3 linked regions of the Pelodiscus sinensis genome follow. The protein of the gene in region 2 interacts with the protein of the main gene of each other region in a pairwise test. Links are inferred from orthologs where the notes say so. Each region holds a gene or a part of one and is shown on either strand. Other genes may lie near its edges.

Region 1 (7,457 bases), on a different chromosome or scaffold from region 2:
TTTAATGAAGCTGGGGATATTTAAATCCCAGCTTCTTTGACTATGTTGGGTAGCCTAGTTTACATGCCTCTGTCGGCAGAGACATGTAATCTAGACATACCCACAGTGCCCTAATGTGACTTTCAGCTTTTCTGTTCTCTCAGGTACACAGGAAAACTCCCAGGAAATTTTGAATTTCATTTCCTGTTTGGCCAGCATGGTAGGCTCAGAGGAAGGAAGGAATGAAAGATGGAACTAAAGCATGCTATACAAGTTTTTAATGTGGGAATAACTGTGCTTTCTACCAAGTTTAATTATTAAATTATCTTTTAAATTATCTATTAAAATCTAGATAATTTGATTATAGTAGAAAGGAAGGGACAATGAAGGCACCTCAGGGTGCAGAGAGAAAGGGGGTCTCTCCCTTGTCTCCCCCCACAATGTATTTTTACTTCATTTAGTTCAACCAAGAGTCTGACAGGGCACTATCAATGGCATCCTGATCATTGTTATTAACTTGGAGACAATTTTTGGCCCAGCTGAAGACAATTGTACAGGGAGCTTGTGAGTACCTGCATGGCAATCACTAGGCTAATGAGGTAACAATATCAGGAGTGGAAATAGGAAGCAAAAGCAGCTCAGAGGGTGAACCTAGGCAGAAGCCTAAAGGCTGTGGGGAAGCCTACCCTTGCTGTAAGACTGCATTGGATAAATGAAGAATCAGTACACATCTTGGTGTGTGTTTGTGACTGTGAAACCACATGAACTGGCTACATAGCATGGTTCAGTGGGTTGCAACAGAGCTGCCCTGTTACAAGGAAAGACCCGTGCTTTTATTGCTATAGATACCACTGTTGATGTATATGCTGCCACTGTACATTACTCAAGTATAAAAGAAGATACATGAATAATATGCAGTTGTTTTTTAGATAAGTCATTCACAAAAGTGGTCTAGGAAAGGCCTCTTCGTCTTTAATTATAGTGTTTCGACCATCAATATTAACAATGTTTCACATATCAAAAAAGCCATCTGTGAAATCGTCATGTTAGCATTTACTAAGTTAAGCAATACTTAGGAATGTCAACAGATTGGAAGAACTGTTCTTACAAATCGTATCCTGCTCTGTCACTCTGCAAATATGATTGTGCAATGTTACTATGAGAATAACTGTGCTGACATCTCTGTTACACTTTTAAATATGCCCAATGAGAATCAAATGTTTCCAGAATCCTAAACAATCTCAATCTGAGCCAGCAGCTCATTCATTTAATAAGAGTACCAAGTCATCTCCCACAGTTGCTGATTTGACTCAGTAAATATTATATGATATCAGAAGTTATAGTGGAAAAACATGTTTAACAATAATTTCCTCAACTGCCATGACACTGAAAGGAAATGTTGTAAGAAGTTCCATCAGTTTAAGCAAGTTGATAATTGTTCTCACTGCCAGAAGGTCTGAGAAAACACCTAAAATACTGTCAGTGACTTTCTTGATGGGCCACTCCTATTATTAGTACAAGCACAGGAGGGTGATTTTGCCTTGACTATGGAAAACACAGAGATATAGTGTATCTCTAGCAAAATGTTATGTTCAAGAGATATTTGTCATTTGCAATGAATCTGTAACTGGAAATGCTCAAAGATGTGAATTTGGGTCACTTTGACTCATTAATGAACAGACAAGAAAGCATATGGAATAATATAATAAACAGATTGAGACACTAACTGCTACAGGGAGCATGAGTTAAATTTAATCTGCCCCATAAACATCGGCAGGGGCAGTGAAATATAGCCACAGGCTCTAGAAGGTACAACAAACACCAATTCAATGAAGCAAAAAAACATAGCGGAAGGGAATGGAAATCACAATCAAAATAGAAATAAAAAGTTTTCTGAAATCAGATTCATATTTGATAGAAACGATGGTGAATGTGAGCCAAGAAATATAGTCAAATACAAAGAGACATAAATAATTTTTCAGAGGTATATTGTACTGTTACAACGTACCACCTATGCTTAAAGAACAGCAAGGCTTTGGATCTTGGGGATATATGGACTGTACAGCAAACTTCTTCACCTTGCAAAATACAACTAAATGTAAATGACAGATGTAGCCATTAAATAGGATAATAATGCACAATGGAGTGCAGTCCAAGAAAAAAAACTAGCTAAGGAAAAGGTACAGAAATCTAAAGCAGATTTCACATTTAGGACATAAAGAGTGAGTCTAGACCAGTGGTGGGCAACCTTTTTTTTCAACTGAGCCAAATCTCGCCAAAACCACGATTGAAATTTATTTTGAGAGCCACATTTTTAAACCCGAAAATACATAGGATGGTACACTGTTTTTAGTTTCAATAAGTTTTTATTGAGAATATTCTGCATGCAAGTATGCCTTTTCACCACTCTTGGGTATGTCTACATAAAAAAAGTATGCTTAACTCAAGGGTAGCTAATTTAGGACAAAACAGTGAAGATACAGCAACACAGCATTTAACTCTTATTAGTATACTGTTAAAGTCTATAGGGCAGCCTCAGATGAGCTAGCACTGCTAACCCAAGTTTAAAGCTAAATTGCTGTGCCTTAGTGAGCATGAGTTAAAACCCTTTTCCTCAGCAGTGAACTGTTCTCTTCTGATTCCCCTACATCTCTAATCCTCCATCAATAGGTCTTTCTAAAAATCCTCATCCCCACTCCATCTTTCTGTGGAAGTTGTATAGGGCTCTTCATCTATACCTTATAGCCAAGTAAACTAAATTGCAAAGAAGTTCAACTAGCATCTCTATGCTGCCAGCTCAGTATTTCAGATCAGTCTCCCTCTGTCCAAATTCACATCTCAAGCTTGAAATTCCTAACTATAAGGTCACAGAAAGCAAATAAAACCTTAAAATGTTCAGGCTACAGTTACACATCACAAAGCAGCACAAAAGGAACAACCCCCTCCCAGCAAGTCAGTTTTAAATAAACAAAGCTCCCCCAGCAGTATCTGCAATCCAAACATGAGGAAGTGCATTAACTCACTGGAACAATTACAGAAAGGCTACAATAAAAAAAACCAAATCCTGCAACCCAATCGCCCTATTTTCATTGTTCAATTGCAAGAAGTGAGTAACCTCAAGGGTGAAGACTGCACTGGATTTTTAGAGAGCTTCCAGTTTCCAGAATCCCGGCTGTTCTTGTTAACACTTCTTAGAGGTATCTGTGTGTTGTCTGGTCTCTGGCTATCATGATAAGGGACCTTCTGCACTGAGTATCTTTGCACAGGCCCCTCCGAGTGATTACGATAAGAAAGAACTAGTATTTTACAGACTGTTTAATTCACACAGAAAGAAACTTCTTCTCTCATTTCAGACCAAGCAAAAATTCAGAATGAAGCATCGCTAAAATCCACCCCTCTACTCTCCCGGGCCGTTTATCTGCCCAGGAGTGTTTTACACAGGTTCAAACTAAATGCTCCAAAATGCTTAGCATAACGTTCAAAGCGCAACAGCAGCACAGGCCAGCCAGGGTGGGGGTCTCAGCTGAGAAAAGGCTCCGCAACAAAACAAACGAGCTGTGAAGCAAGGAGTGAGACCCGCGAGCAAAGGCAGCCCGCCCCAAGAGACTGGGGTCCCAGCACCAGAGACAGGCAGCTCCGTGTAGAGACCCCAACGCCACCACCCCCCGACCATACAATTCAGACACCCCGACTTCCCGCAACGAAAAGAAGTGTCTGATCTGCCCCTCCTCCACGCGTCCGCACTGTCCTTTCCCGCACCCCGCCCTTCCTGCCACTTCCCCGTCTGCCCTCTCCGTCCCCGCCCGCCTCACTGACCCGCCCCGTCCTCTACCCCTTCCCAGTGCCCCTGTCTCGTCCACTCCCCCGCCCCGCTGTGTGTCCGGCCGGGCGCCGTGCTGCCCCGGGCGCCACCCCCCCACTGCCCTTGCCCCCTCCTTTCTCCCCACCCGTCCCACTGCCCCTGCCCCCTCCATTCTCCCCCTCCGCCCCTGCCCCCTCCATTCCCCACCCGCCCCACTGCCCCTGCCCCCTCCATTCTCCCCCTCCGCCCCTGCCCCCTCCATTCCCCACCCGCCCCACTGCCCCTGCCCCCTCCTTTCTCCCCCTCCGCCCCTGCCCCCTCCATTCCCCACCCGCCCCACTGCCCCTGCCCCCTCCTTTCTCCCCCTCCGCCCCTGCCCCCTCCATTCCCCCCCCCGCCCCACTGCCCTCCTTTCCCCGCCCCTGCTCCCTCCTTCTCCCCCACGCCCCATCTTCCCCTCCGTCCCACGGTTCCTCCACCCGCCACTCTGCCCGGGCGGCGCCCCCCCCGTCCCTGCCTCTAGCCCCCTTCCTTTACCCCCCCCCCACTATCTCTATGCCCTCCTATTCCCGCCCCCCCGTCTCACTGCCCCCCGGCCCGGCACTCACACGAAGCGGCGCTGAGCAGCAGGAGGTGCCACCGGCCCCACTTGCCGAGACCAGCCATCGCCGCGCTCCCAACTGTGCCAATGAGCTCCGAGAAACACCACCCAGCCCCCTTCCCAGGTGAGGCCCCGCCCCCGGAGCCCCATTGGATCCCGGCCCACGCCCACCCGCCCCCTGCGGCCCTGCCCCACTCCAAATGCGGTTTGAATTGCGGTTTGGTCTAGTAACTAGACTTTTGGGGCGGCCGCCCGAGAGGAGGGAGGGGAGCGGGCGCCCGGCACACAGAAGAGCCGCATTAAAGCGTGTAAAGAGCCGCATGTGGCTCGCGAGCCGCGGCTTGCCGACCACTGGTCTAGACTACAGGGTTTTGTCAACAAAAGTGACCTTTTGTCGATAAAACTATACCTCTGTCTACACTATTGCCAAGTTCTGTCGACATAACATTGACAGAACTCGGCAGTTTTGCCAACGGCAGTAAACCTCATTCTATGAGGAATAACGCCTTTTGGCAACAGAGTTCTGTCGACAGAAGGTGTTATTGCATCTACACTGTCCTTTGCACCTACACTCACATGTCGACAAAGCGGCTTGCTTTGTCAACAGAACTGGATGTAGTCTAGACACTCTTTGTTGAAAAAAGCTTTGCTGACAGTATCTGGCCCAGCGGGCCATCGTCTGAATGGACTGTAATATCCACCATAAAGCTTCTAATACCGTGGTCACCAACCAGTCGATCGTGAGGCATTCGGGGCCACCCCTGTGATTTTCCCCCACCCCCAAGAAGTCCTACTACCTACCTCCAGTGACAATAGAAGTAGTGGCGGCTTCCTGCAGGGTGGACAGAAGTCCAGCAGCTGCGCGCCACTTCCAGGGGTTCCGGAAGTGCAGTGGCTGCTCCCCTCCCCCAGGTCTGTAGCGTGCTGGGAATTGGCATGGTGGGGCGGGGGGAGTCCCCAGAGGAGGTGCGTGCCAGGGTTTCCCTCCTCTGCGGGGGGAAGGGAGAGGGGAGAAGAGTGCTGGGAGGAGGCAGGTGCGGGAGACTCCCTGCCCCAACTGGCACCCTGTCCCCTGCTGCAGAACCCTGCCCTCTGCCCCCTGCCCCTCCGTTCTCCTCTGGTACCCTGTCCCCCACTGGCACCCTGTCCCCTGCCCCAATTGGCACCATCCCCTGCCCCAGCACCCACTAGCACCCTTCCCTACTACCATGTCTCCTGCTTCCACCAGCGTAGTAGGGGCCACAGTAGTGAGGTTTGGGGTTTTTTTGGAGGAGGTTTTTTTTTTGCATCTCACTTGTGTTGCCCCAACTGACTTTTCTGTGAGTCAGTGACACCTGATTCAAAACAGGTTCCCTGCCCTTCTAATAAATAAAGACAATGCAGAAACTTTTTGTGTTTGACATAGTATTTTATTTAAAAATGAAACCTGTCCAACAAACTCCCAATTGCGGCCAAGTCCCCATCTAGCCTCAGCATCATAACACTGCTACACCCCGTCCCAGACTCTAGATCTGAGCCTATCATACACTGGAACCCCCTGCCCTGAGCCCCTGACATATTCCAACCCAAATTCCTGCACCTTCACATCCACAAGCCTGTGGCTTGCTTAGTACCCCAACCCTCCATCTGACCTCAACACTCCCCAGCCAGGAGTCCCCTCCCTGAGCCAGCATCCCTTTCTCCACCTCCTCCAAATTTTCTCCCAGAGCTTGACCCTCCCACCCCTTTCCACACCCAAATCCCTCATTCTCACCCCAGAGCATACATATCCTGTCTCAAGCCAGTGAGAGTATTGCTAGACTGCAGGAGTTTTTCCAGGATTCCAGAGATATCCCGGAAAAATTCTTCCACGTCCATGGATGCGTTTGTTCTTCCATTTTTTCTGGCGGAAGAGCAAACATGCTCTTTCAGCAAGCCCTGTATTCCTCGTTCCACAAGGAATAAGGGGACTTCTGAAAGAAGGGTTTTTTCTGACATTTGGTCCTGTCCAGATAGGCCAAATGTTGGAAAAACCTCTTCCTACAGAAGAATCGGAAAAAAAGCAGCAGTGTAGAGTGTAAAAGGGCTGGGGATAGCAAGTGATGGAGAGGAGGAAAATAGAGAGGGTAGGTGGAGTCTTGGGGGAAGGATGGAGTGGTAAATCTTGGCTTGTTCTGACATTTAAAAAACGATCTTAGGTGTAAAAAGGTTGGAGACCACTGTTCTAATACCAAAAAAATCTATAATACCAAAATACAAAATGTTTCCGAATAAATGTGAGGCGGCCGAGGCCATGTGTGTATGTGTGTGTGGTTAGGAGTGGGTCGCTGCACCGGCTTGGCCTTAGTTTCTTTGGCACTAAAGTGAATGACATCACTTTATGGTTGAAATCAACGAAATGGACGTGCAATGCTCAATGCTCGATGGTGCATAACAGTAATGCGTAGGCCTGCTTTGTGCAATGGTGGAATCGGTGATGGATTAGCTTGAATCTTGACCGGTGAACAAAGAGTATGCAGCGGTTGGATGCGTTCTGTTATCGTCTGTCATTGTGGGTGTGTGGTTTTCCATAACTGACAATAAATAACAGTGTGAGTATGGTGTAAACGAACAAAGATAGTGTGCGTGAAAAAGTCGGCCGTTCTCAACTCATTTCCCGGGCCTATTTTGATTGCCAGTCCACCCCTGCATATAATTCATTTCAACCCTGTAAAATGGTCAAAGTGAATTGGTAAAATTTATACTGAAAAAACAAACATTAATAAGCATTTGAGAAGTGAGATGCTATTCACCAATCTATCAGTTTTAAAATATTATTCTTTAACTGAGCCATTTGTATTCACAGCAGATATTTTTGAAAAACCGCTATTTGCATCAACACTCTTAACGAGGCAGAAAGAAATGATGTATACACAGTAAAATATATATAATTTTTACAGTATCTTTGAGGACTTTTTTTGCTGCACTTTGAAATAGAACATCTTCCCTGCTACAGAGGCAGAAGAGAGTGCTACATTTTCTCTAGCTCCCTCAATTCCCAAGTTACAACAGGTAGTATATTTTCTTTAGTCTTTCTCTGCCCTTAGAATTTCCCAT
Region 2 (7,112 bases):
AGGTTTTTACATCCCTAGTCTGCATTGGACTTCACTATCTGAAGTAATTTTATATTGTCTTCAAAATTTGCCACCCGTTTAGCCCCCTTTCCAGGTCACTTATGAATACACTGAACAGCACCAGTTCCAGTACAGATCTGAGAGTCACTCCTATTTACCTCTCTCCATTTTGAAAACTGAATGGAAAGAGGTAAATAAATAAGCCTGATAAAACTGTATGCAGCAGAGCCAAATAAGCAAAAGAAAGTGAGGATACAGTTGAGTCACAACTCTACAGCAGCAAGAGAGAAAAGTAATTTCCTGTGTAAAGTCTCGTCATGTAAACACATCCTGAAAAAAAAAAGAAAAAAAAAAGCAAGCAGTAACACAAGTGAATCTTAACTTGAGAAAACTGATGTCAACAGAACTATTTATAGCCGGAAAGGAAAGCACTCACATAAGTGAGAGCAAGAACAGGGCCTAATTCATTCAGCTCACTACATTTGGCTTAGGAACATATATTGAAAGCATAGATATACATGTATATGTTCATCTATTTTTAATCTTTGGTTGAGCGGATAAGAGGTGGTGTCGTGGTTCACCCTACCATATGCAGAAGTGGGCAGGTATTAAAATATACAAGAACAAAGCCCATAGAGCATTTCATTTAGATTTCAATACTGTGCCCATTTACAAGGACAGATACAGAAGGCCATCAGGATGATCACATTCCGGGTAAGCAAGGATGATACTAAACTGCTCAAGATAGTGAATATCAAAGCAGTAAAACCTTCAAAAAGATCCGACATCATTATGGCTATGGCTACACTGTAGCCTTCTTCTGGAAAAGCTTATGCAAATGAAGCGCAGAGTGGAATATCGCCACGATTCATTTGCATAATTAATTAGCTGCTGCTTTTGTGCAAGAGGCTTGTGTGTAAAAAGGAGCTGTGCAGACAGCTCTTTTTTTGCGCAAAACCCCCCTCTTGCGCAAGAGCCGTTCTTCCTCATTTTTTCAGGAAGAATGGCTCTTGCACAAGAGGGGGTGTGTGTGCAAAAAGGAACCATCTAGATAGCTCCTTTTTGTGTAAAAGCCTCTTGAGCAAAGGTGGCTGCTAATTAATTATGCAAATGAAGCACGGTGATATTCCACATCATGCTTCATTTGCATACGCTTTTCTGGAAAAAGGCTACAGTGTAGCCATAGCCTAAGTGATTAGGCAACAAAATGTCAAATGAAGCTTAATGTTAGTAAATGTAAAGTAATGCACATTGAAAAAAAAACAACCAGAACTACCCATACAATATGATGGGGACTAATTTAGCTGTAACTACTCAAGAGAGAGATCTTGGAGTCATTGTGGATAGTTCCCAGAAAACATGTGCAGCAGCAGTCAAAAAAGCAACCCGAATTTTGGGAATCATTAAAAAAGGGACAGAGAATACTACAGAGAATATTTTATTGCCTCTATATACAATAATGGCACGCCCACATCTTGAATGCTGCATACAAATGTGGTCACCTCATCTCAAAGAAGATATATTAGCATTGGAAAAGGTTCAGAAAAGGGTGACAAAAATTATTAGGGGCTTGGAACAGGTCCCATATGAAGAGAGATTAAAAAGACTGACTTTTCATCTTAGAAGAGAGGAGACTAAGGGGGGGATATGAGAGAGGTGTATAAAACCACGAGTGGTCTGGAAAAAATGAATAAGGAAAAGTTATTTACGTGTTCCCATAATTTAAAAACTAGGGATCACCAAATAAATTAGTAGCAGGTTTAAAATAAACAGACAGAAGCTTTTCTTCATGCAGCGCACAGTCAACCTGTGGAACTCCTTGCCACAGGATGTTGTGAAGACCAGGACTTTCAGGGTTCAGGAAAAAACTAGATAAATTCACGGAGGTTAGGTCCATCAATGGCTACTAGCCAGGATAAGTAGGAATGGTGTCCCTAGCCTCTATCAGAACCTGTAAATGGATGACAGGAGAGGGATCATTTGATGATTCCCTGTTTTGCTCTCTCCTTGAGGGGCATCTGGTATTGCCCACTGTCAAAAGACAGAATACTGGGCTAGATGGGCCTTTAGAGTGACCCAGTATGGCTGTTCTTCTATTTTTAAGCAGGCGTTGTACCCATACACAAACCAGGTTTATTACAGTCAGGTTGCTCAGATATTTTAAACTTTTCTCTCTGTTGCAAGCCTAGCTTTGTAGAAACTCAGGCTTCCCAGGATTGAGAGAGCAGGTTTTGTGCGTTTCTATTTCAACGGAAATCGGATTATGAATCGGTCAACTTCAACAGTTTCCCCTTAAGACGATGTATCCTACATGCAAAGTAAGCACGTCCAGCCACTCAAAAAAACCAGCCAAAGGTCCAGGAACGCCAGGAAGAGGGCGGCTCTCGGAGCCAGTGCTTACTAGGAACTGGATTTCCCCGCAATGAACAATCCGGCAAACTGGCGAGCGGCGCCAGGGAAGCGGCTGCCGGCAGAAAGCGGTCCCTGTGGTGAGGGGTGTTTGTGGCAGCACCCAGCGAGGAGGGGGAGCGATGCGGCGGAACCCGGGGCAGAGGGCACGCTCCAGCCGAGGAACGGCTCACTCCGGACCTAAGCCGCAAGGCAGCTCCAGAGACGTTGTTCTCATTGGCCGCCCCCCAAGCGGCTGCCCCCAGGCACACAGAGAACTCGGCCTGCCCCACAGCCGCGCCCACCAGGCGACCCCCAGCCCCGGCGCGCTCCACACAAGGGCCCCGATGCTGCCCGCGGCGGCTCCCCGGGAGGGAGTTTCCTTGGCTCCCGAGGCGCCCCGCTGCCGGCACCTGAGGGGGGCGCCAGGGGCGGGGCCTACGGCCGCCCCAGCCCGCGGGGTCTCGCTCCTACCTGCGGGCGCGGGGCTCTCGGCGAAGCGAGGCGGCGGCTCGTCCGGTGGGCCCTGGGCGCTGGCGGGGCGGGGCGGGGCGGCTGACGAGCGCGCTGCCGCCCTGGCGGGGAGGAGCCAGCAGCCCGCGGCGCCCCTGAGCGCGCTGGAGGCGGGGCGCGTAACGGGCAGGTGTGGCGTCACCGCTCTGCGCTCCGAGCGGGCTGCGGGCCGCACGGCGCTCGGGCGGCGCAGCACTTCAGCAATTGAGGTTATTAGGGGATGAGCTTTCGTGGGCCAGACCCACTTCCTCAGGTCAAACAGCGGAAGAAAATCGTCACCACCATATATACCAAAGGATACAATTAAAAAAATGAACACACATGAAAAGGACAAATCACATTTCAGAACAGAAGGGGGGGGGAGGTAAATGTCTGTGAGCTAATATTAGAGGTGATAATGGGGGGAGCTGTCTTTGTAATGGGTAAGATAATTAGCATCTTTATTCAAACTTAAGTGTAAAGTGTCGAATTTGAGAGTGAATGACAGTTCAGAGGATTCTCTTTCAAGTGCAATCCTAAAAGGCCTTTGAAACAGGATGCAGGTAATCAAGTCGTTGAGACAATGTCCTTTCTGGTTGAAATGGCAAGAAACTGTTTTTTCTGTGAGATCCTGTCTAATATGTTTTGTGGGCATTGATCCTTTGGCAGTGTCTGAGATGTTTGTCCAATGTACATAGCAGATGGACACTGTCGGCCCATGATAGCATAAATTATATTTCTGGATGTGCAGGAATGTGTTCTTAATCTTATAACTTGAGTTAAGAAATTTGATTTGTCCTTTTCATATGTGTTCATTTTTTTAATTGTATCCTTTGGTATATATGGTTGTGACAATTTTCTTCCACTATTTGATCTGAGGAAGTGGGTCTGGCCCACGAAAGCTCATCATCTAGTAAACCATCTTGTTAGTCTTTAAAGTGCTACACAGTCCTGTTTTTTGTTTCAGCGACACCAGACAAACAGCTACATTTCTATCACCACCTCAGGTTGGGCTTCGCTCAGTTTTTACTACCCCTGCTTATGGATGCCGAGGGAGCTAATCCTGATAGACAGGGGTTCCTGGTGTCAGATTTGGCTGCCAGTGCGCCAGCCACTGGTCCAGAGGGCGCTAATGTAAATAGATGGGGGCTCACGTTTCAGCCTGTGCACCTCCACTGGTCCAGCAGGGCCTTTTGCATGCCCTGGTCTGGGGGAAGCTAATCATGGTAGATAAGGGTTCACTGTCCGATTTGGGTGCCTGTGCACCTGCCACTTTCACATCCTCTGCGCTTCAGCACTGCCCTTGCCATGCCCCCTAGTGTTCTAGCAGTAATTTACAGGGGGCGGGTGCTTTCCAATCACTGGGCCCTGAGGGAGCTGCCCCTCTCCATGCCCTCCCAGTTGTTGGAACACTGGCTAGACCCTAATTCAGTTTCTCAATACCATGATGTAGGCTACATTTATACTGTAGCATTTTTCCAGGATGGCCAGTGTCAGACCTACATGTGGGATCAGCTTGGGTGGCAGGGCAAAAACGTGTGCCACCATCTGCTACATGGCACACCCAGCTCCTGATCCTCATGCTATGCCTATGCCCCCTGCCTCCCCCAGCCAGATCTGATCCTGCTCCAGCCCTACTCACCTGTTCTCCCCGGAACCAAGTCAGCACTTCCTGCTGTGCGCCACTCCTAGCCCTGAGCCCCCCTCCACCATCCCAAGTTTTTTTTTTTTCATAAAAGTAATACAAAGGTTTTGTTTTTCAACTCAAAACTGGTGTCTTTATTGACTGTACAGGGAAGGGAGTGGTTGTGGTAGGAAAGGCATGGGGGGCGGGGGGGGGAGGAGTACAGGCCCCTGCAGGGAGGCCCTGGAGAGAGGTATGGGTCCTTGACAAACTCCCAGTCAGGGCTCCCAGATGCGTGCGCACTCCCTCCCCACCCCCACCCCTGATGGGCCTTGCAGAATGCAGCTGTGCACAGGAACTTGAAGGCCCTTCCGTCCCAGCTAGGTTAAGAAAAACCAAGAGAAAGAACTTGTATTATCAATACAATATTCCTGTTGTAAGCATAATGACTAGACAGAAAAGTAACAAAGTAATTTTCTCATGGAGGAGAAACCCACCATGGACCAGAAGCTTAGTTACAAAAGAGAGCAAAAAGCATTTTTAAATGCACAGACATCAGATCCCATTTCCCAAACCATAATACCTAATGATTTATCTAAACTTTACCCTACTTACAGAAGAGTGAAGAATTGTTTTAGAGAGAGACAGACACATGTCTGTCTCCTTCAGTAGCTGGAGGGAATTGCTAAGGACAAAGGAAGGAAAAAATCAAAATTCCTTTGTCCCAGTTTGAATTTCCTCTCTACATGCCTATTGGCCACTTCACCATGCTTAGGTGTAGTTAAACCCTTAGTCCCCAAGCTGCTAGCCATCTCTCATGATCATGACAACTATCCACGGCAGTCAACCAGGGCCTGCAGCACCATTGAGAATTAGCTCTTTCGGTTGATGTGTTGGCAGCTCAATGATGTGGTGAGTTGACTGGGATGTGGGTTCCATCTATGGCTCCCCCACAGTTGGGGAAGCCCTGGGCAGCAAATCTGGCAACGATCAGGTCCAGGTCTCTCAGGAAGATGACCCTGTGCAGCAGGACAGAGTTGATGGCCCTTACCACCTGCAGGAGGAGACCGAAAAACACACAAAACAGAAGGAGGGCATGCCTGAACCCTTGGGAGGTTCCCACTTCTCCCTCCTTCCCCTCCCCAAACATCCCAGGAGCCACCCCAGGGCTGTGAGAGGGTGGGACGGCACAACCCCGCAGAGCATGGGAATTCTTCCCCACCCTCGCCCCCTTGTTTCCCTATGGTCCCCCTCCCCCGTAGGGACTGCAGCCTGAGAATGCCTTACCTCCAAGAGAAGGGCCCCAAACAGTGAACTTTCCCATGGTGAATTGGTTGCCCATGCACCGTAACTGTGGGGTCGTGAGCTTGCAGACAGCGATGGCAACCCACTTCTCCAGGGGGATGGCGGGTCGCATCTGCGTGTCCCATCATCAGAGGGCAGGGGCGAGCCAGGCACACAAGCTCCAGGAAGAAGTTACTGCACCAAGGTGAGTAACAACAGTTCAAGGTGTGTCCCTGTGGGTGCTCCACGGAAGGTGTCAGGCTCATCCCGGCGCTGCAACTCAGATTTTCAAGAGCCGTTGTCAGCTGTGCCATGCATGTGCAGACAGTGTCTTGCACCATTCACGCACTTGGTCCACTGCGCATGGCCCGGTTCCCGCCCGTTCCTCTCGCTGTCCCGATACCTGAAACGAAAAAGGCAGGCCCTAGAACGGGGAGGGTGGGATGTGGAGCACCCACGGGGACACACCTCAGAGAGCCATCATTACTGCACCAACCTGAGTAACTTCGAGTGGTCCCCATGGTGTGCTCCACAGAAGGCGACTACACAGCAGTGCTCTGGATGCACTCCAGCGTTAGGGATTTTCAGTGACTGAAAGTACTGCTGAAGCCATGCTGGAGTCCGCAGCCCAGCACTGCACTATAGCGTAATGGTTCATGAATGTGGTGCTGGAGGATCACATAGCAGCTCTGCAAATGTCAGGCAGTGAGACTCCCCTGACGAAGCCAACAATGGAATACCACTTGTCATCACCTACAACCCTCAACTTAAACCTGTCCAATACATTATCAATAAACTACAGCCTATACTGGAACAGGATACCATACTCCAAGAGGCTCTGGGAGACAGACCCATAGTCTCCTATAGACAACCACCTAACCTCAGATGATTCTTACCAACAATCACAGGACATACCCCACTAATACCAACCCTGGTACCTTCCCTTGCAACAAACCCCGTTGCCAGCTTTGTCCACATATTCATTCTGCTGATACCATTATTGGACCTAACCAAGTGAGTTACAAGATCAAGAACACATTCCTGCGCATCCAGAAATATAATTTATGCTATCATGTGCCGAAAGTGTCCGTCTGCTATGTACATTGGACAAACATCTCAGACACTTCGCCAAAGGATTAATGCCCACAAAACAGATATCAGACAAGATCACAAAGAAAAACCAGTTTCTTGCCATTTTAACCAGAAAGGACACTCTCTCAATGACTTAACCACCTGCATTCTGCTACAAAGACCTTTTACATCTGCACTTGAAAGGGAATCCTCTGAACTGTCATTCATGTTAAAATTCGACACTCTCCGGGAA
Region 3 (6,992 bases), on a different chromosome or scaffold from region 2:
GCAAGCTTAGGCATAATTCAGGAAAGGCAAAGAATCTTTATGAAGAGCTAAAGAAACAGGGTTTTACTCATGAGCCCCTGAATGCAAGCAGGGGCTAATTGATGCATTTTACAGCCAAAGTCAGTTTGCACATCAGATGAAGCTGCCAGTGGTGATAAGGAGGTACCTCAGTGCTTCTCCTGACACATTGGCTAGAATCACTGAGGAGGGTAGCTGTTATGCATGCCAAGTTTTTAATGTTGACAAAACTGGGCTCTTTTGGAAAAGAATTCCATCACAAATTACATAGCCGAAGAGGAGAAATGCACACCAGGGTTCAAAGCTGCTAAAGATAGGTTCACTCTTTGCTCAATACAAATGCTGACGGTGACTTTAAACTCACACTCTTGCTTATTTATCAGCCAGAAAACCCCAGGGCTTTAAGGGATATTCCAAGGCATTTCTCCCAGTGATATGAAAATTAAGTCCTAAGGCATGTGTCAACGAAAACGTTTGAGGATTGATTAAGTCATAATTTTGTGCCAAGCAGCTATTGTAGAAACAATTTTAGCACTGTTAACCCTCAAAAATACTCCCAGAAAGGTTTCAACATATACCATGCAGTTAAACAATGCTGAGGCATGGAATGAGTTGAAAAAAAAATCCAATTTTGAATGGCGTTTGGCAAAAATTGTATCCTAACTGTGTGTGATTTTCAAGGATTCACAGACACTGCTGAAGAGAGGACCCAAGGAGTTGTTCGGACAGGCAAAGCACTCACCAGAAGATATGAGTTGCTGGCATCACACTGTGAAGAATTAACTAATGAGGATGTCAGTGAGGAGGAAAAGCAGAAGGTGGCAGAGGAAGATGCATTCACTACTGAAACTCCTGCCTCAGCCAACACTTCAAATTTGAAAGCTGCCATGTCCCTGTTTGAGGAATATAACCTCATTATTGAACGCAGTACACCTGTGAATAGGGGCATATTCAATATGTACTGCTGCTACAGAGATATTTACAAGAGAAGAGTACATCTGTCCAAACTTCTTTGGACATTTTAAGACTTTACAGAAACCCCCGAATTTAAGTTTAGCTGAATGCTGTTTTGGTACATTAATAATCTATAATAGGGAGGTTAAGATGCATATACTTTTCTTAATCATGTAGCTTATAGAATTAATAGACACACACTCGGTTAATCATTTAATCAGCTACGCTATTACATCCCTAATCTATAATTCAGCAGTTCTCAAACTTTTGGGATCTGGAGCCCTTTACATGCGTAAAAATTTATACGGAGCCCCAGCGGTGTGTGTTAATTGCATCCGTTCGAGATGATTCTCAATTATGCTTTTGAAGGCTTTCCAGTTTGTCAACCTCACGGAGCCCCTGGAGATGTCTCACGGAGCCCTGGGGCTCTGCAGAGCAGTTTCAGAAACACTGCTATAATTCATTTAATACAAATATCTAGGTTATTATTGTGAAAATGGTATTTCAAGCCATGGTTCAGGAACCAATTCCCTCTTTTTTCCAATTCCTACGGAAAAGTGGTCTCATCTTACAACATTTCAGCTTACAATTATTTCCTCAAAATTGCATTGTATCATAAGTCTGAGGACTCCACACACACACACACACACACACACACACACTTATAAATGAATAGGGAAAGGCACTGGTAAATGACAGAAAAAAGCAAATATAGTTTGGATATATGTTACAGAAGAGAATGAATTCAACAATACAATATTTAAAATGAATGTAAAAACCTGAGTAATGAACACTGAAGCAGAGGAAAAGAAAAGCCAGGGAACAGATGAAAAACTCATATTACAAGCAGATGGAGCACTGCAAGTACTGAGAGTGACCTTTGGAGGAAAAATAATCAGTAAGTAATCATCCCCTAATCAGAAGTTTTGGCATAAAAAGCTTGACATATTATCTAACAACACCTATACGGCAGGAGTCTTAGAAGATACTCCTCTAGCACCTCTGCAAGAATGAAATACAGTGGGGGAAATAAATTAAGGCTATTTTCAGGATTGCTCTCCTCATCCCCAAAATAAGGATTAAGCCCCAGGCATATTGCAGTGTCTCCAGGAGCTGCATATTGCCCTACATGCTCAGAAGCCTACCTAACCCTCTGGCTTTGTAACGCTACTCACACCTCCTTCCCTTGCTGCTAACATCAGACACTGTCTGTACACAGCCACTGCAGACAAGGGATGTAAAATCCTACTTAATTAGTGAACCGCTTAAATGTTAAATTTAATCGGTTGAACGATTAAATTGGTGCAAACTGGGGGAGTGGAGGGGAGCTCTAGCAGGGCATAGGGTTGCCCGGGGCAGCCTGGGTGGTTAACGAGTTACCTAACCGGTAAACACAATGCTTACTGGGTAACCGGTTAACCTTCACCATCCCTGCTGCACACCCCCTTCAACCAGGCGGGAGCGGCTTTGCCTGGAACGGCCCCGCACGGGCAGGCACCGGACTGGTCTCTATCACTGCCACGGGTGGAGCCGCCTCCGCCCCAGGGCTGGGCTGGAGAAAATGACCTGGGGACCGTGGCGCTGCCCCGGGCGGGGCCGGCCAGGAGGAGGGAGGGGCGGCGAGAGTCAACTGGGGCGGGGGGGGGGGGGGCGCAGAGACACAAGGGCGGCTACAGGGAGCGGATCCCTACACCGCCCCGGCAGAGGCCCCGCGGGGCCGGGGCGCGAGGCAGGCTGAGGGGAAGGGGGAGGCTCGGGGCGCTTGCCGTGGGCGGGGGCACCCGGGCAACGCCCCGCAGGGGAGATCGAGGCGCGGGGCTCTCACCTCTGGAACACGCCCCACAGGAAGTTGGGATCTTGCATGCCCGGGGGGCCGCCGCCGCCGCCGCCGCTCGGCCGATACTGGTAGCCCGCTGCCATCGCCCCGCTCGCAGTAGCGACTGAGCTCCCCAACGGTCACGCGTCCGCAAGCTGCTACCTCACTTCCGCTTCCGGCCCTTCGACTGCAGGGGATCACCTGACTGACTAGAATTGGGAGCAGCCCCGCTCCGCCCTCGGGGATTCCACAACGTCCCCTCCCCCCTGCCCGTGGGGATTCCAAGAGAAACGTCGCCCCCGGGCGAATCTTTGAGGCGCAACGGCTCTGACGCAACTGCCACCTGGGGGGAGGGGGGTTTGCAGTGCGTGTCCGCGCGCTCAGCCCTGGGCATCGGCTGCCACAGCCCCGGGACAGTCCGCGCGCGCTGAGGGGCCGATGACCCGTCTGCCCGAGCTTGCCCGCATGGGGAACGGGTGCCCGTGTTTGCCGAAGGGAAAGGGAGTCACGCGCTGCCCCCCAGCCCCCGCGTGGGGCTGTTGCTGGTCACTGGACCCCTCCCCCGTGCGCCGCGCAGCTCGCTCTTTACCTACGGGGAAGGCGCGAGCCTTTGTCCCCGGTCAGCAAGACCAAATGCTCCGTTCTCAGGAGAGGGCGGCCAGGCAGGACAGGCTGGGTTTGAAAATTGGACATCTGGGGCTGAACGGACATGCAAAGGCCCCTGCTGTGCGCCCGACACACCGAGCACCCCTGCCTCCAGCATATCCTCTGAGCCTTTGGGCTAGGGAGGTGAAGGGCTAGTTGACTATCCAGTAAGCAAATGCTTATCAGCATCACTCCCCCCCCTTGCTGCCTCTGCCAGACAGAGCAGAGGGGGGGGGGAAGAGAGAGGTACTTGGAAGCAGCAGCACCACTTGGAGCCTGGGGGTTCCATGCAGCACTGCCCCTTTGAAATGCCTCAGCAGCATTTCAAAGGGGGCAGCACCACCCGATTAACTAATCAAATAGTTGATGTAAAAATGCATCAACTATTCAATTAGTCAATTACACAATACTTAACATCCTTACTTGGGCAAGCACAGCATCAGTGACCCCCTGGGTGCTGCAGACAGTGAGTTTCATTTCTGCAGAGTGGGCCTGGGCAGGCTTCCACAGCCACATTCTTGGCCTCCGGATGCCTGGGCTAGTTGCAGAAGGGCAGACCAGCTCCTCCCAAAAAGCTGCTTCCTGTAGGGGGCTTGGTGCTTTAGGCTGCAAAGCAGCCACCCCATGCTGGCCAGAAAACCTCAGAAATTCCTGTGAATCCCCCTATATCTGCTCTGCCATATCTAGACACATGCTTGTGTGAGGTGGGACACACCTTTAGTGGCAATTGCTGGCTGGCTGGCAGGACCTTCTCAGGGTGGCAGGCAATGCCACTTAGTATTGGATAAATATAAAGAATCCAGAAGCCATTGAATAGGAACACAAGAAACAAAATAAACCAACTTGGGGGAGAAGAGGTTGATGACAACTACAAAACCAAAAGGTGACAGGCCAGTCTGTTCAGCTAGCCATAGAGCTATTGCCAGCTGCCAGAAGCATAAACCAGTCAAGCAGGATGAGCCAGCCAGTTCCTGCCACAGGGCAATATTTTGTTTTCCTTCCTTTTTTGGCACAGAATTCACCTGGAGTACTGAATTATTAATCCCTTTTTTGGCATTTAAACCTTCATAGTTACAGGACTTAAAAGGAAGTGAATCTATATAGGTTCAAAGAACATAGTGTTTAAGCTATAACATTTTATTTAATTTAGCATCTGGCAGTGCTTAATATACACTCCGTGGAAGTCAAATGGATGAAAAAATATTACTGTACCTTAGGTATTAAATTCTTTCATTTATTCACCCTAGAACCAAATTATATACTAGCTAGTTCAGTCATTTTATTAAGCCATTTTTGAATTTCATAATTAAATTTTCTGAAATAATTTTACATCAAAGTAAATACACAAAGTAGTAGGTTAAGTAATTGTGAGAAAATATATTTGTTGATGGTGCCTATGGCTGTAACACATCAATAGTCAGTACAAAGTACTCTGGCCATCAGAAAATTTAATTCTTCAAGCAGCCATGCTATTGATTTCTACAGCTGGTTATTTCCAGGATCTTCATTACAGCTGTCAGCACCAAACATTTTAAAAAACGTATATCTAGTAAGTAACATTGTATTAGGTGTCCTTTAAAGTGACATTGCCAAATTTGCCTTATAACATTCAAATATGTTGACCCCATACCAAAACTGACACATGAACTCAAGCTTATCACAGTTACTTAAGAAGTTTTGGCACACTTAGTGTAGGAACGGTGATTTCTTTAAAAATTGGCACATAGTTAGGATTTGGTTGGCTTGAACCTTGGTCCAGAGTTTCAATGATGGTCTGTTTCATGTCCCTGCTGGCATCTCCTCTTACTGTCAGCAAAGCCGCAATGTGGTCATCTCTGCCAAACAAAAGTACAAACCAGAAATGTCAGTACAAGTAATGAAGCACTTGTCACATTTTCCTTGACAAAATATGTTAGATCACAAATCTTCTAGTGTCCCCTCTCCCCGCCAACATCTTTTCATTCAGTGCCAGAATACCTTGGTACTTAGTCAGACTTCCAGGCATTCAAAAATTGTGCTCACAGGTTAACTTTTCAGTCTCTTCATGAAGAATTCTCACTTCGAAACTATGATATGGGTGTTGTGTAATACACTATAACCTTTGTATTCTGGGTGTGTCTAACTCAGGATCCTGGCAGGCTCAGGTGGATGTGGCTCTGTATACTGCTGCTTCTCCTCTCCCCCTGATGAGGGAGCAGCAGCCCAGCGACATATTCTGCTGGAGGTTTTTACCCACTGCTCCCATAGCGATGGGGGACACAGAGTTCCTGGTAAGTGTCCTGCCCTCATCCCGCTCCTTTCCTGGCCTGTCACAATCATTAATCCAACAAACCCTGTTGCACAGAGTTGCTGGGTTAAAGAGATTCAGTTGTATACATTTGTTCTATATTCCCAAAATATGTCCTTTCATATGCCAAAGTACATACCCATCCACACCACTATCACAGGTGTTAAATTATTAGCATTTTATTATATGATCTTACAAAAAAGTTGATTAAACCATACAATCGAAAAAAAACCAATAAAGGATATATATACCCCACACAAGACTACTCTCTGTAACCTAGGATTAATCTTAAAATAATCAATACTGGTAAAACTCAAAAGCTAAGAAGTATGAATGGTATTACCTGATGTCTGGGTATTTACTAACTAATGTTGAGACTTCCAGATAAAGCAATGAAGGATCAGTCAGCTTGATAACTTCTGCAATGGCTACAATGATGTCACAAAGTCCTTCGGTGTCCTCTCCTGATCCCTATAAATTGAACAACAAAAAACATAGTCCATAAAAACAGCCAGACTGAGTCAGACCAAAGGTCCATCTAGCCCAGAATCATCTAATAGTGGCCATGCCAGGTGTCCCAAGAACCAGAAAACTAGCTGCTGGTTGCTCTCCCTGCTTAAAGGCTGGGGAAAACATACTATTGCAGCTCTTCCCGATTAAAGACTACAGCCCTAACTGCTGATTGACTTGCCCTGCTTAAAGGCTGGGGACATAGCCTACCGCAGCTTCGCCAGATTGCAGGCCTGAACCTTAACTGGTGGCCACCCACCCTGCTTAAAGACTAGGTGAATAGATAGCTGCACTTTGTCCTGGTCACCAGCCACAGTCCAAATTATGTACAGACCACCCACCTTGAGGGATGAGCCCCTCTTGTGTGTTGTTAATTCCCCCTTCCCCCTACTCTTTTTCTGATCTAAGAAGGCTCTGGCAGATGCAAATTGTAGGGAGGCATGGGTCCCCTCAGATGCCAATGCAAAGGGATGACTCTGCCAACCTACAAGAGCCAATAAGATAGTAAGTCAGAAAATATCAATCTCATTCTTAATGATTTCCAAAATTCTGTTCACTTTTTTGACTACTGCTGCACATTGATTGGATGTTTTCAGAGAACTATCCCCAATGACTCCAAGATGTCTTTCTTGAGTGGCAACAGCTAATTTAGACCCCATTATTTTAAGTATATAATTGGAATAATGTTTTTTCAATGTGCATTACTTTGCATTTATCAACACTGAATTTCATTAATGTAGATCTTGCCTCAGAGTGTTACAG

What was found. The genes of interacting proteins can lie anywhere in the genome.
Region 1: the proteins of ANXA11 (region 2) and phospholipid scramblase 2-like interact in a two-hybrid assay, tested with the Homo sapiens proteins (2 studies listed by BioGRID and IntAct). The two-hybrid records come from large-scale screens. The link is inferred for Pelodiscus sinensis from reciprocal best matches to the Homo sapiens genes ANXA11 and PLSCR1.
Region 3: the proteins of ANXA11 (region 2) and PDCD6 interact in binary tests that used the Homo sapiens proteins (3 or more experiments, as listed by UniProt). The link is inferred for Pelodiscus sinensis from reciprocal best matches to the Homo sapiens genes ANXA11 and PDCD6.

What each region holds. Positions count from the first base shown.
Region 1 is NC_134720.1:23,898,618-23,906,074, reverse strand, and holds the start of phospholipid scramblase 2-like, read left to right. Parts: upstream 1-4,454; 5' UTR 4,455-4,469; coding exon 4,470-4,506; intron 4,507-7,457. UniProt on the Homo sapiens protein: Catalyzes calcium-induced ATP-independent rapid bidirectional and non-specific movement of phospholipids (lipid scrambling or lipid flip-flop) between the inner and outer leaflet of the plasma membrane resulting in collapse of the phospholipid asymmetry which leads to phosphatidylserine externalization on the cell surface.
Region 2 is NC_134718.1:12,605,708-12,612,819, reverse strand, and holds the start of ANXA11 (annexin A11), read right to left. Parts: upstream 3,019-7,112; 5' UTR 2,863-3,018; intron 1-2,862. UniProt on the Homo sapiens protein: Binds specifically to calcyclin in a calcium-dependent manner. Required for midbody formation and completion of the terminal phase of cytokinesis.
Region 3 is NC_134712.1:144,942,619-144,949,610, reverse strand, and holds the start of PDCD6 (programmed cell death protein 6), read right to left. Parts: upstream 3,004-6,992; 5' UTR 2,893-3,003; coding exon 2,798-2,892; intron 1-2,797. Other genes in the region: EXOC3 (exocyst complex component 3), read right to left, coding at 5,097-5,268, 6,064-6,191. UniProt on the Homo sapiens protein: Calcium sensor that plays a key role in processes such as endoplasmic reticulum (ER)-Golgi vesicular transport, endosomal biogenesis or membrane repair.